Macaca fascicularis: one gene and its partner. The protein of the gene in region 2 purifies or fractionates together with the protein of the main gene of each other region. This does not show direct contact. Links are inferred from orthologs where the notes say so. Each region holds a gene or a part of one and is shown on either strand. Other genes may lie near its edges.

Evidence for each region. Proteins that work in one complex are often made in the same cells at the same time.
Region 1: the proteins of PSMF1 (region 2) and PSMA2 purify together in Homo sapiens (affinity purification with mass spectrometry; 3 studies listed by BioGRID and IntAct, with this or other methods). This does not show direct contact. The link is inferred for Macaca fascicularis from reciprocal best matches to the Homo sapiens genes PSMF1 and PSMA2.

Annotation. Positions count from the first base shown.
Region 1 is NC_088377.1:87,361,639-87,369,198, forward strand, and holds part of PSMA2 (proteasome subunit alpha type-2), read left to right. Parts: intron 1-618; coding exon 619-695; intron 696-1,401; coding exon 1,402-1,534; intron 1,535-2,869; coding exon 2,870-2,992; intron 2,993-4,141; coding exon 4,142-4,223; intron 4,224-5,632; coding exon 5,633-5,706; intron 5,707-7,472; exon of another isoform or gene 7,473-7,560.
Region 2 is NC_088384.1:86,262,404-86,270,497, reverse strand, and holds the start of PSMF1 (proteasome inhibitor PI31 subunit), read left to right. Parts: upstream 1-3,562; 5' UTR 3,563-3,709; coding exon 3,710-3,838; intron 3,839-8,094. UniProt on the Homo sapiens protein: Plays an important role in control of proteasome function. Inhibits the hydrolysis of protein and peptide substrates by the 20S proteasome. Also inhibits the activation of the proteasome by the proteasome regulatory proteins PA700 and PA28.

The sequences.
Region 1 (7,560 bases), on a different chromosome or scaffold from region 2:
TAAGCACAGAAAACTTAGGGTGAAAAGAAGCAACAGTAATACCACTGCTCCGTGTGGCAGACAAAAACCAAAGAGAAAGTAGTGCTTCAGTAGGAGTATGTTCTAATTGCCTTGTAAACTTGGTTTCGTTCGTTTTTTCTTTTCTTTTCTCTTTTTTTTTTTTTTTTTTTGAGATGAGGTTTCGGTCTTGTTGCCCAGGCTGGAGTGCAATGGTGTGATCTCGGCTCACTGCTACCTCCACCTCCTGGATTCAAGCGATTCTTCTGCCTCAGCCTCCCAAGTAGCTGGGATTACAGGCGTGCACCACTATACCCAGCTAATTTTTGTATATTTAGTAGAGACAGGGTTTCACCATGTTAGTCAGGCTGGTCTTGAACTCCTGACCTCAGGTAATCCACCCACCTCAGCCTTCCCAAGTGCTGGGATTACAGGCTTGAGTCATTGTGCCCAGCTGTAAACTTGGTTTCTGTGCCACTTCATGATAGAGGTCAAAGGCCAGCTACTCCCTGGGGTTGGATAAATTGGATTTGACCTGAATGTCTGTACTATCTCAGAGATGTTCTTACAATAAATATTGGATGATATGTGAACTTAACAAATACCTGTGTTTCTTTTAAGCCCGTCTGGTAAACTTGTCCAGATTGAATATGCTTTGGCTGCTGTAGCTGGAGGAGCCCCGTCAGTGGGAATTAAAGGTAATTAAATGCTTCATTCATTTCAGATGCCTGTTAGTAGTTATCTTGATTATTTTGGAATTAATTAGTAGTTAATTTATACAGAGCTGCAGTAGTATAATTTTTAATAATTTTTTGTTAATTTACAGTGTTTTGGAGTTTAAATAGTAATAAGTCTAAGGTCATTCAAATTTCTTTTCAAAGTAAATAATAACACCTTTATCTGTTAGCTGTAATATTCACAGTAGTCTTTCTCATTCAGAAAACTCTTTTTTTTTTTTTTCCCACTGATTATATCACTACTTGCTGGCAGTTTTTATCCTTATAATTTAGGAAAGTTTAATTATAAAACATAAGCTAAATATGTTGTGTTTCACTTTAAAAGGCTGTATCATTTATTGTAAATTTCATGTTATGAGACTATTGCGACAAGTAGGCAGAAATCCATTATTTTAAAACGTGAACTCTCAGGTATCTTTAGAGTGCTTACAAAAGGTTATGTAATACCTATAGCTGTAGGGACGATTTTTTTGTGTAGTACTAATGACCAGTGAGGGAAAAATGGACTTACCATTTCTTAGGTAATTTTGGTAATAGGACTCCGGAAGAAAAGGTTTTATAAATTAAAGGAAATAAAGGACTTTTGAGTTTAGTGCATCCATAATAGAAAGCTGTTAAAACAGTCTTATAAATGATTAAACATTTAGGTCTCTCTCTTTTTTTTAAGCTGCAAATGGTGTGGTATTAGCAACTGAGAAAAAACAGAAATCCATTCTGTATGATGAGCGAAGTGTACACAAAGTGGAACCAATTACCAAGCATATAGGTTTGGTGTACAGTGGCATGGGCCCCGATTACAGGTACTTTATACTTTTTATAGTGTTTCTCACCATCTCATGAATTGATTGTAATCTGTATTTTCAGGAGAAAAACCAATGTTGTTTTCCTTTTATCTTCCGATTCCTCTTTTTTTGTGTGCTTTGTTTAGCAATAGCAGCCTCATTGAGAGCTGAATTTAGTTTGCCTGTGTAGGTTACTTTAAAGAGAATAACTCAGATGTGAAAGAGGAGGTAGATAGATTACATAACTCCTCTTTTCTCTGTTTAGTGGACTTTCCCTTCTGACATATTCCTCTTCTACTACCCAGGAACTGGGCATAAGGGCTTTAGTTTTCGCCAGTGCAGTTTAAAAATGATAAGAGCAATTTATGTTATAATAAACTATATTCTAAAAAGTATGAGGCAACAAAAGAAAGCATCGCCATCCAGAGTTAACCTTACCTCTTTTCCTGTTCTTCACAAAGGAACAAAATTCTCAAACACCACTGCAAGTTACTGAGTGTGGCAGCCAACCAGGATCCCAGTGCTCATATAATCACCCCCTTTATATTTCACAGGAAGAGAGAATAATCTTGTTACTCAGGGTACCAGCCAAGTTGAAAGAGATTGACAGCTTTCTGTGTCTGTCATTTAAACAAGTAAAAGGAATATTACTTTATTGCTCATGATTTTGTGGAGCAAGATAGGTAGACACAAAGTTTCACTTCAGTTTCACTCCTATTTCACATCTGAGTTGTTCTCTTTAAAGTAACCCAGGGTCTTCCCCAGGCAGGTCTCAAAGTCCTGGCCTCAAGTGATCTTCCTGCCTCAGCCTTTTAAAGTGTTGGTATTACAGGTGTGAAACACTGCACCCAGCTGAATTTTACATTTTTAGTTACAAGTAGTTTCTTACTGTTTCTTAATCTCTGAAGGGTACTCTTTGAAGCACAGGCAGAGAGATTAAAACAGTCTGCAGGAAGTAGTGACCTGAAGTGAGAAAAATATGCCCAGAATTGTGTGCCTGTGAGCTTATGTGTGCTTGTATGCACGTGTGGACTGGGGTGAGCTATAAAAAGACAAGTGGCTGCCCTTGGATAAGGGGGACAATCTTGAAGAAGCCATGGAGTGAGATAAAATTCTCATTTTTGTACATTAAATCTGTTACTTTTAAGCTAACTGGTACTCTATGATGCTTCGATATTTTCTTCTATATCAACTGGAATCCAATGTTAGAGTAAGACTAGCTTTGATCCAGCAGCCACCATTAAAGCAATACATGTTAAACTGGTGCTGCAGGTACGTGCCTGTAAAAGAAGAATGAGTCTTTGGGTAGTAGAGCATCTTCCTTGTAATTAAATCTTATTTTTTCCTTCTTAGAGTGCTTGTGCACAGAGCTCGAAAGCTAGCTCAACAGTACTATCTTGTGTACCAAGAACCCATTCCTACGGCTCAGCTAGTACAGAGAGTAGCTTCTGTGATGCAAGAATATACTCAGTCAGGGTAAGTTGCTTTTTTTACTTGAAATGTGCCATGAATTGTAGGGGGAAGTCATTTTAAAGAGTAGATGTATACATAGAATGGGACTTACCATTCCTATATTTGCCTAACAAGTGGACAAAATCACTATGATGAATATTTCTGATCTTATCTAGATCTAGAATATTTACTTAAGGAAAAAAATGTGTTTTCTTGTTGCTCATATAACAGCAGAAAGCAGCTTCTAGATATAAAAAGTTCTTTTCCCAGTGATTAAAACACTTTTTGGGCAGAAATTCATTGCTACTTTTATTTATTTTTATTTTTTTCTTTTTGAGTCAGAGTCTCACTCTGTTACCCAGGCTGGAGTGCAATGGCATGATCCTGGCTCACTGCAACCTCTGCCTCCTGGGATCAAGTGATGCTCATGCCTTAGCCTCCCCAGTAGCTGGCACCACAGGCATGCATCACCATGCCCAGCTAATTTTTTTTTTTTTTTGTATTTTTTTGGTAGGGATGTGGTTTTACTATGTTGGCCAGACTGGTTTCAAACTCCTGACCTCAAGTGATCTGCCTGTCTTGGCCTCCCAAAGTGTTGGTACTGCACCTGGCCTCTACTTTCAAATTTATGTTTCTAACCAGAAATGATTGTAAGCACATGATGAAAGCAGCTCTTTGACACATTCATATTTCTTTTCATTCCCCAGCTTCTTTGGGTGTGGATGAGATAGCATATAGGTAGTTGTTGATATGTAAACCTAGTGGAAGAGCTGCATTAACTGAAAATTGTCATTTTGTAATAGGTAAACCTAGTGGAAAAGCTGCATCAATTGAAAGTTGTCATTTTGTGACAAGTAAACCTAGTGAAAAAGCTGCATTAATTAAAAGTTGTTATTTTGTTAGGACACTAAATGTTACTCCACACTTATTAACCCCAGTGTCTTAGGTGACACTCTATTCAATCCAAATTTTTTTTTTTTGGCTACTATTCCTCACTACTGTAAAGAGAATTAGTTTTGAATTGATTCATTCAGAAAGGTGTTAAATACTTTTTAGGGAACTTACAAGTCTAATTCAGTTTGCCTGATAATTTGCTTTATTTGAGAATACTGATAAATTCTTGAGGATGACTTTCATGAAAATGCCAAGTAATTTTCATTTTCCTGTCTGCAGTGGTGTTCGTCCATTTGGAGTTTCTTTACTTATTTGTGGTTGGAATGAGGGACGACCATATTTATTTCAGTCAGATCCATCTGTAAGTATCAGTAGATGTATTTGAGGGATTTGTCTTTAAAAGTGCTCTTTGAATATCTAACAGAAATAGAAGCCATAAAAACTTTACAATTTAGCAGTATTTTCTTCTTTTTCACCTGGGCTTTAGAAGGTATGAGGTCATGCATTTTTGTGTGTATATTTAAAATTTTGGTAATTTGGTCTTCTGATAAGGAAGCTGTATTAGTTCTACCCTCTTTTCTTCTGCCATGTTTACTTCATACACTTGGGTGATTTGTTGAAATAGTTGTTATCAAATGTATTTAAACCTGTAACTTTGGGAAATATTGCAATTGAAGATGTGGATCTGGAGGACGGTGTTGTGGTGTTTGCCGTCAGTTGAATCTTGGGGTTGACTTGAGTGACTTTTCCAGCAAAAACATTAATCTGTCTTGAATTCAGTGTTTTGCAAGAATGATTGTGAAATTGGTACCTTGGGTGAGTTGTCTGCTGTAATGCAGAAGAATGGTATCTGAATAGAAGGGATTTGTAAAGGATAATACTACTCCACATCTGTCCCATTTGCTATGAGAACCTTAAGACAAAATTCAAGATTAGGAAATTACCTTTCATGTTTTATGGATTATTAGATAATTAGAAGTTTACTCAATGCAGACCTTATGATCTACTCTTAAAACCTGAGATGGCAAAAGAAAAATATTTTGGTTGTTACTTAAATCAGAAAAAATAAGTATTTGGGGGAACTTTGATAGTGCTGTTACTCCATCTCTGAGTTTCCAAAGCTAAGTGACAAGCCCTCTTATCTTCCTTTTCAGAAGGTAGCGGAAGCCACCATTTCTGGAATCCAGATTTCTTCTTTTGTCCTATTTTCCTCTGTTGTATCTAAAAAACAATTGTTTTCATTTAAAACATAATGGATTATGTTTCTTTTGGTATTTTTTCTGATGAGATGCTCTCTTTTTAATTTATTCACTAATGATCAAGAGTTGGTCACCATTTTTCAGATTTATATGAGAGACTTAAATCGCTTCAGTCTGTGACGCTAAAATACTACTCTTGATTATTTGTTTAAGTTAACCTCAATTTCTTTTAACTGGCTTTGTTACATAATTTATGTACACTTAATTGCATCATCACCAGCTTCATCAGTTTGATGAGTTCTGATATATGTAAATGTCTGAAGAAACCATTACTACAATGAGGATATCAAAAATGTCCAGAACCTCCAAAAGTGTCTCCATGCCTCTTTGGTTTCCATCCTTCTAGCCTTCTTAAAAAAAATAACCTATTCTGTGATGTTTTCCATTCTAATAATATTCTGTGACCTTCAAAGTTAGAGAACAATTAATAAAGCTAAAAATTAAATGGCAGGGCAATATAATTGTATTTGTGTTTTAAAATATGGTTCTTTACTCTTTCTATCCTGATTAGGGAGCTTACTTTGCCTGGAAAGCTACAGCAATGGGAAAGAACTATGTGAATGGGAAAACTTTCCTTGAGAAAAGGTAGGCTCACTCACTGTAACTACATTCATTAGCAAACTCACTTTATGGTTTTTGGTGCTCTTTAAGTAATTAATATCATGGGACTAAAGAAAATTGCTGTATTACTCTGTATATTAATCTAGTTACAGATAAATCAAAAACTTATCTCCCTCCTAGTTTCCTAGTCTTCAGTATATCGAGTGGTAATTAATATTCATTTCCTAAGGAGTTGTCTTTTTACATTCTATGGTTTCCTAAATGCTTTTTTGTTTTGTTTTGTTTTACTTTTTACTTCACTTTTTCTGCCATTTTAGGAGGGAGAAAAAGAACATTGAATCTGGAATAAAAAATTTGGGGAGACAGATTTTTAAATGATTTAATGATAATAGTTTACATTATGACAGTAAAAAAAATTGTGAAACCAAATGCCTGGAGTTGAAGGTATATTAAATATTTGGTATGTGTGCTTGATAAAAAGTGGAGCACTATGTAAAAATCTGTCGGTGCCCAAGTACAAGCTGCCCTCACTTATTTCCAGCTGTATTCTAGTCTCAGTGTTACTGTAGTCCTTCAAAACTCTCCAAGCTTTTGAAGAGGAAAATGTTTTATTTCTTGATATGTAATAGTTGCGCATATTTTTGCAGTATATGTGATATTTTAATACCTGTATACAGTGTGTCAAATCAGGGTAATTGGATATCCGTTACCTCAAACATCTATCTTTTCTTTGTGTTGGGAGCATTGCACATCTTCTAGCTGTTCTGAAATAGGGAGAAGAAAAATAATTTCCTGAGTGTACTATTGGACACCAGAACTTATTCCTCCTATCTGACTGCATTTTTATACCCCTTCACCAACTTCCTTCATTTCTTCTTCCCGTCTCCCTTTCCAGCCTCTGGTAACCACTGTGCTACTCTCTCCCTCCATGAGATCCACTTTTTTTAGCTCCCACATATGAGTGAGAACATGCAATATTCATCTTTCTATGCCTGGCTTGTTTTACTTAACATAATGACCTCCATTTCCATCCATGTTGCTGCAAATGACAGGATTTCATTTTTTCATGGCTGAATAATAATAAAAAATTTTGTAACTCCGTTTAACAGAGGAGCCTTCACAGTACATTTTTCATGTAATGTTAAGGTTATTAAAAATCTTAGGCCTGGGTTTAAATGGTAAATTTAATCTTAGGCTCTTAAGGTACTTTTTCATTTTTCTTTTTTATATTAATGAGTCTTCCAAATATTTCACATTGTTATTACATGATATGTTTTGTTTTATTTTTGTTTCAGAGGCATTTTATTTAGACAACTAAAAATAATTAGATGTTCAGAACCAGTGTACAATGAAAGAGAAATTAAACCAGTTACTTTATCATGTATTCCCTCTTTACAACCAAAGCAAAAAACAACAACAAAGACATTCTGCTTTAAGGGAAAGTCAGACAAATAAGCCAATATATTTTTCTTCTCCATAATGATATAAACAGCTGCAAGAACTTTTAATTGTAATAAGAGAAGTCGGATGTTGTCTTGTACATACTCATTAAAAAGATGACAGGCCATTGTACTACAAGAGGATAACTCAGCCTCCCTTCATCTGATCCTCTTGAGATTTCACTTACAGGTAACACCAAGTTAGTTGTTCCAGCAATGGAGCTAATTCATATTCCTCATTATTTATTACTGCTTTTGCCTTAAGCAGAGAGTAACTCTGAAAGGCTGATGTTTTTCTCTGCTTGCTCGTTCTAGTCCAGTTGTATATTATCTGTGGCACATGCTTGATGCTCAGGCCTTAACTTGAGGAGTTGAAGAATAGATGGAATCTGAATTCTCTGAAGCAGTTTCTTCTAGCTCCTCTTCTCTTGTCTCTGCA
Region 2 (8,094 bases):
TCTGAGACATGCCCCATACTGCCTCCCAGAGTTCCCAGGTAGGTGTGCGGTCCAGTTGCCCGTAGAGGTAACTGGCTTCATCACACTCCCTCTGCTGGCTGCCTTTCCTTCCTGTCTCACTTCCCTACTCCACTGCCCCCACTGCTATTTCCTGGAATCAGCTCCCAGATAAACCACTCAAATCCCTGTCTCACCATGGGCTTCTGAGATAATACTTGTTAAGACAGCGATGATGGTGTAGAAGAGGGAGCCAGCGTTCTATAAGATGCCAGCTACAACCAACTGTATGCAAAGCAGTGTTGAACCAAGGGGTGGGGATGACGGAGCTGCCTGCCCTGGTGCAGACAAGGAGTGGGTACATTTGCTGTAAAAAACTTTAAAGTAGTAATAAAAGAGACCAAAAGTCAGTCCACTTTTTGCTATCATCATGAACCAGCAATTTACATCAACTTCAATGATAAAATTCTCCACCTGACTAAGGCTGATAGCTCTCACTGTCCCATGCCCACCCCTTGGTACCCCACTGACGCCAAGCACACTGAGGAAAGAGCAATTAATCATGGGCAAAGAGATGAGGGAAACCTCACTCAGGAGACAACATTGACCTTCTAATCACACACAGCTAGCTGCATTCCACCACGCCTTTGCACATACTGTTTCCTTTTAGTGGAACACCTTTTGCTCCTAAATCCACTTTTTTTTTTTTAAGACAGTCTCGCTTTGTCACCCAGGCTAGAGTGCAGTGGCTTGATCTCAGCTCACTGCAGCCTCCACCTCCTGGGTTCAAGTGATTCTCCTGCCTCAGCCTCCCAAGTAGCTGAGATTATAGGTGCCTGCCACCACGCCTGGCTAATTTTTGTATTTTTAGTAGAGACAGGGTTTCACCATGTTGGCCAAGCTGGTCTTGAACTCCTGACCTCGTGATCTGCCCGCCTCAGCCTCCCAAAGTGCTGGGATTACAGGCGTGAGCCACCGTGCCTGACCAGTGCTTTTTTTTTTTTTTTTTTAAACACTAGACAGTGAGCCCTATAGGGACAGGAACCTGTTCATCTGTGTCTGGCCCACACTAGGCACTTAGGAATGGGCTGCCACTAAGTAGGCACCTTAAGTGGACACCCTGCACTATGGTTCATGGCAGCCCAGCCTATCAAAGTTTATTGATGGAATGAATCTGTAGAACTTTTCCATAACTGGATAAGGGTATCACAACAGAAGGGACAGAACAAGCAAAAGCAGGGAAGCCCGAAAGTGCAGAACTTCTCAGTAGAAAGGGCAAATAGCTTTATGCCACAGGCAGTACATCTCAGAGAGGAGTTCCACAGCCATCAGCTTTAGTGTCGTCCAGAATGTGGTCAACATACATGCACTCTTCCTCAGACCTTCTCATCCAGAATCTCTGCAGAAGGAGTTCAAGAATCTGGGTGTCTCAAGGAAACTCTAGGAACACAAAATTTGGAGAGGCACAGGACCAGCTGACAAAGGGAGTGGTGAACTATAAAGAGATAACAGTGGCCTGATTGGGTTGGGGCTAGGACAAGAATTCATTTCTTCATTCAGTATTCATTCTTTCTTTCAATAAGTATAGATTGATCCCAGATAGCATTCAGGTACATATGTGCACAAGGTAGACATGCTCCCTGTTTCTTTGTCACAGTCTAGTGGAAAGACAGTCATTAAATAAGCAAAGAAATAAATACCTAATATAGTTTCAGGTTATGATTAGTGCTTTGCAGGGAAAAAAAAAAAAAACAGGAGAGGGGTTAAAGACTGGAGAAGGTTATTTGGATGGAATGGTCTGGGAAGCCCTCTATTGAGGATGGTAGGAGTGAGGGATGGAGCCTCTAGAAATGAAGAAGCAAGACACGTAGATATTTGGGAAAAGAGCATTCCAGGAAGAGGAATGCAAAGGCCTAAACAGAACACATGAAAGAGGGAAAGTGGTTGGGAAGCTAGATGCTGGAGGATCAGACCAGGGTGGAAGCAGTGAAGGTGATGGGAAGTGGTCAGATTCATAATATATTTTGAGAGTGGAGTCAACTAGCTTTGCTGTTGGACCAGATGTAGCTGTGAGAGAAGGGGAGCCAAGGTCATTGCAGGTATAAAGGGGATGGGAGGACAGTTGAAGGAGATTGAATCAGAGAGGTACAGGACTGGCAGGGCTGGGGCAGGAGGTGGCAGACCACATGCAGGTTCCTGCAGACCACGGGGAGGACTTTACTTTTCCATTGAGCGTGATGGGAACCCTGTGAGATTTTGAGCCGAGGGATGTGATCTGACTTGTTTTCTTTTTTGTTTTTGTTTCTTTTTTGAGACGGAGTATCGCTCTGTTGCCCAGGCTGAAGTGCAATGGTGAGATCTTGGCTCATCGCAACCTGCACCTCCCGGGTTCCATCGATTCTCACGCCTCAGCCTCCTGAGTACCTGGGACTAAAGGCGTGCGCCACCACGCCCAGCTAATTTTTGTATTTTTAGTAGAGACAGGGTTTCACCATGTTGGCCAGGCTGGTCTCAAACTCCTGACCTCAAGTGATCCACCTGCCTCGGCCTCCCAACGTGATGGGATTACAGGCGTGAGCCGCCACACCCGGCGGATCTGACCTGTTTTCTAACAGAATCTCTCTGGTTGCGAAGTGCAGTACAGAGAGAGACAGGAATGGAATGGGGCAGTTCCGAGGCTGATGCCAGGCGTCCAACTGAAAGATGACAGGAGCTTGGACCAGGTTGGTGACTGGGATGGGGAAACTAAATTTATTTGGGTAAAAACAATAAGTGGATTTCATGAAACTTGTTGACGTAATGGGTGGTAAAAATCATAAAGGGGGTAGTCAAACAAATGATTGAAATTTGGTAATGGGTCAGGAGCTTCAGCTCTGCGGGCAGCAGTTGTGTCTTCTTGGAAAAATGGTTTCAACTCTCAGCCGTTTTGTCATCTGCAAAATGGGGATAATAATGGTACATCATAGAGTTGTTGAGAAGGTGATGTAAAGGTTTTAGTACAGGATGTAGCACACAATAAACACTTAATAAATGTTATCTTAGAAGCCAGACTGCTAGGTTCCTGTAACCATCTCAGTCATTCACCGGCTGGCTGTTGTCACCTTGGTCAAATTAGCCCTCTGTGCCTCAGTTTCCTCATCTGTGCAATGAGGCACATTAATCGTTAATATCAACTGCATAGAGTTGGGTTGTGAAGATTAAATAAATGAATACAAGTAAAGCATTTAGAATAATGTGGCCGGTAGTAAGCACTGCGTACGTATTAACGATTATTAAGAATGTATTTTAGCCACATTTCCCAGCCCCTTCCCCGGCCTAGCATAACCCATTTTGTGCATGGGAAGTCTAGCTTTCAGCAAGGTGGCCTCTTGGAGGGCGCTGTGCTTGCGTGAAGCGATCCTGTCGGCCGCGGCGAAGACCCAGGTTCCGGCTTTGAGGGGCCTCGCCCCGCGCGGTCCCTGGCGGAACCTTTTACTTCTGCGCTCGCGTTGCCAGCCCGGCGCGCCTCACGCAGTTGCGCCCGCTCCTGGGGCTACTTCCGGCGGCCCCGCCCCGCCCCGCCCCCGGGCGTCTCCATCTTGGTCTCAGGTGTAGACTCTGCCAGAGCTAGCGCAGGAGTGAAGCGGAGTTATAGCTACGTCGGCCGCGGAGCTGGCTCACTGCACTACCCCCTCCCCCTTCTCTCCTCCAGACGCCGAAGTCGCTGGCGCTCATGGCGGGCCTGGAGGTACTGTTCGCATCGGCAGCGCCGGCCATCACCTGCACGCAGGACGCGCTCGTCTGCTTCTTGCATTGGGAAATGGTGACACACGGCTACTACGGCTTGGGTGTCGGTGACCAGGTACGCCACGGAGCCGGCCAGGGTGGAGGAGGGAACTGTCTTCTGTCCAAACTCAGAGGCCCGGAGGCCTGGTCCAGAGCGCCCGATTTCCCCGCCTTTCCCAATGCAGGGCCTGGGGCACATGACAGCGTTGGTAAAACCTGCGGGTCGGAGGTTGCTCACCTGCTCCAACCCAGCCCAGAGTCCCTCACAGCACAGCTGGCACAACATGATTTGTAAACTCAAGGGCAGAAACTCGCTTCAACACAGCCTGGCAGCCTCTCAGGCCAGGACTGTGTGGACCTAGCATTCCATAGAATGGAAAAGAATCCAGACGAGTTTAGCTCCCCAGAGCACTCCTCACCCACCTAATCTCCTCTGAATTCCTTCCCACCCAGCCTCGGGGTGAGGGGACTGACTCAGTTCCCCCCTCATACCACACTAGAGCCTCCACCAAACATCTGGATCCAAGCACAGGTACGGGAGTGAGCTTTGACCTACTCAGCCCCAGGCCACGGCCCTTTTTTCACCCCTTAGCATGGGCCCAGAGAGTTCACATGCCTTTCACGCTTTACTGAAGGGCCCAGCGTAGTCCACTCGCTACTGCCATCCCCAGCTCAAGCTCTAGGAAACAGTCCCCCCTAGAATCGTATACACATACAGCCTGGATGTGAGAGTCATATAAGATTTTCTCCTCATAGCTGTCCCCATAGGGCCAGCCCCCTCCACTCCCATCCCCAGGCTCCACCTCTTACACCTAGGGACGTTGTTGTCATCCCCACCGAGTTCCAGGACCGCTGGGCCCAACCCACCTCACTAATTCTTTGCTCTAGCATTCTTCTGTCTTTGCTGTCTCTTCCCTGTGACCCTCACCCCCACATCCACATCATCCTAGACATCTGCTTGCTGGGACAACTGGGCCTGCCTCCATGCGTGCCCCTCACTGTCACTGTTCTCTCACTCTCAGAACCAAGACCAGCCATGGGAAACAGACCACCCCGTCACCCTTCCTCTCCTTTTTGACTGCTTCAGTCCTCAACTCCTCTAATCATTTTTTTTAGCTTCTCAAATAGAGTCTTAATTCTCCTCTCCTGACACAGCTTTAGGGACCTGTCTTCAAACTTGTTTTGTACATTCTGAGCACTTAGGCAAGTATCCCCTTTCCCCTCCCCCTCACTGCTGTCCCTATTCCTCTCTGTCTCTTAGAACTAAAGACCAAGACCACGATACCCCTCTCACACTTTACCTCCTTCAGCAGGAACCAGAGCCTAAGAACTGTCAGGGATTTCTGGCTCTTCCCCTGCCCGCCCCCGACCTCAGTTATCTCACTGGGACCCCAGGTACACACTCAGGATCCCCATTCCCACCTCCAAACTCACACATACTTCATCTCTCAAATGGGCTCTATGACTGGAGATGAGGATGGAAAAGAACAGCCAGCCTTTCACACACACACACCTGGAAGCAGGAACCATTTCACCTTCCCAAACACATCTGTCCCTGTCCTTTCTCTTTGTGCTGCCCTTCATTCCACATACCTTCCAAATGCCTTTCAGCATTTCAGACCTTAGTACCAGGTAGAGACACATTTCAGTGTCAGGCTCCTGTTTCAGTGCATAGTCCCCCTAACAGAAATCTTGTCTCCCCACTTGTCCTACTCCAGCTTTTTAATCTTGAGCAGCTCTTCACTTGCCCCAGTCATTTTATTTCAGCTTTTCGTAGATTCTTCAAAGAAACTGATATCTGGGATGGTGCAGGGGACAGTGGGGCTGAGAAGAGGAGTAAGATTTGATTTTGACCTGGGAGCTCCTCCATTGGCCCTCAGCTCTCTTGTCCTTCAGATGGAACAGCTGTGCTCTGCACTGTCCCTTCTCATGTACCTCACTCCCCTTACATACCCCTAACTAGCTACTTCTACTCTGCCACACTGTCAGAACCCTGTCCACCTCTGCTCCGGAACTTGTTCTAGAGGGTGTGCCTGATGCCCTTCTCTTCTTGCCATTCCACAAATAAATATCAATCGCTGTGAATCTGCTCCCACCATTCTTACCCTCACTCATCCTGTTGAATCACTTTGACAGTTTGGGAACATCAGTTCACATAAGTCGACACCTTCTTTTAGCTGGCATTATCACCTTTCCATACACTCAAGGCTGCAAAATTTTCGGATGAAATGTACAGAAAGAATACAATCTCATTTTAATACTGTTTTTTTCTGTTGTTGTTGTTGTTGTTGTTGTTTTTCCAAAAAAAAGGCCTTGACCAATTCCCCAAGGTCCATCTGATTTTTCTCTGTTCATGGTGCTATTTTTTGAGCTTCTGCAGGCCAGAAAAAGATGCTGGTTTCAGAAATCTTTGGGGAGGCCCAGGACCCTGGGGAATGGGGTTTTTGTAAGGCATTGCCACCTTTCTTCCTGAATCTTGCATGCTCTTGAAGGAATGGGTGTTTGGATTGCAAACTAGAGCGTGGTGTATTTTTGCTTCTCTCTGCCTTTTCTCCTTGATTGCCAGTGGGGCTCAGGTTGCACTTGTCCTCCTGTCACTTCTGCTGAGTCTACTTTCATTCAGAGTGGAAGCTGGAGAGGCATCTTTCCTGTTAGTTTATTTAAAAGGAGGTTTAATTTTTCAGCCTGGGGCCAGCCAACTCAGCTGACTCGATTGTATTTTCCAAGCTCAGAGGATATTTGTGTTGCCTCTCCTGCCATCTCCTGTTTCCACCCTTCTGGGGGTGATAACGAGAGGAAGGTCCAAGAGTGTATGCTTGACTACACAAGTTGACAGTTAAATGGAAAGCTAGATTGTCTGCTTTCTCTTAGGTTTTACCTCCTCTGTTATAGGGGAATTGTGTACGTAAAACTTGATTAGAAGACCAATGCAGCCACTGGCTTCAACAAAAATCCAATCTTAGAATTTGGATTTCTTTCTTGATGTCAGAACCACTCCTTGCAAGAACTTTACAGCTTTGCCAAGTGGTTTAGGTGGCAAGGGGATAGGTAAGGGATGACTTAGGTGGTCATCGACATAAGTTAGATAATTTTGTTTTCTGTTGTGGAGAATGTAAGGATTGTGATGAAAGAGAGAAAATGCCCAAAATGATCTGTTTAAGTTTCTTTGGGTGCATGTTAGCTCAGAGGCATTGGGTCAAACTCATGACCATTAAAGAACGCTTCCAGTGCCAGGATTTTACCTAGGAAGACAGTTATCTTTATTCTTTTAGGGCCATCTTATGGACCTGGCTGGGGAAAACCTTCTCTAGCCATGGCCTGGGGCAATCAGGAGCTCTGAATTCCAAGTACAACCCTACAGCTGACTTGCTGAGACCTTGGTCAGCTCTCTGACCCTCTCAGGCCTTAGAATTGTCTTTCTTTTTTTTTTTCAAGGTGGAGTCTCACTCTCAGGCTAGAGGGCAGTGGTGCAATCTTGGCTCACTGCAACCTCTGCCTCCTGAGTTTAAGCAATTCTCCTGCCTCAGCCTCCCCAGTAGCTGGGATTATAGGTCCCCGCCACCATGCCTGGCTAATTTTATTTTGTATTTTTAATAGAGACGGGGTTTCACCATGTTGTCCAGGCTGGTCTCGAACTCCTGACTTCCAGTGATCTGCCTGCCTCTGCCTCCCAAAGGGGTGGGATTACAGGCATGAGCCACTGCACTCAGCCTCAGGCCTTTGATTTTTCATCAGAGGGAGTTAAACCATGTGACTGTGTACTTAGGCTGCTTTCCAACTGTGGCTTTCTGGGACTCTTGATATTTGATGTCAGGGTTTACAGGGCAGTTGCATGCCATGTTTGACCTGATATCCCCAGGGTCTGTCCTCTGTTTACTGGGAAACATCAGTTGCACAGCAGTTAGAGACAGCAGTTTCACCTGACTTCAGGGATTTTCTGTAACTCTGGAAGCCAAAGGTGATGGGGAGGTGAGCAGACCAAATTGTTTATATTCCAAGAGAGAACTGTGGTGGTTTGAATGCTGTACATGGAGGATATAATATAAATTTAAAGGCCTTTGACAGAGCAAAGATGAGGATGTCATCAAATTTCTGGCTTCCAAAGTAGACAAATCCATAATGCTAAGCACTAAACATATTTGGGAAAGTTACCCAGTTTGGGGTGAGGGGATAGTTTCTCTTTCTCAGAAGAGTGGTTTGATTAGTTTCATTTTTGTTTTTCCTCACTCTCATTTCTGTGCTTCAGGCCTGTGAATTTCATCCTCATCCAGCCAGGTTTTAAACCATGCCAGCTGTGACATCCTCAATTTTATTTGTTTCTGAGCACCAGGG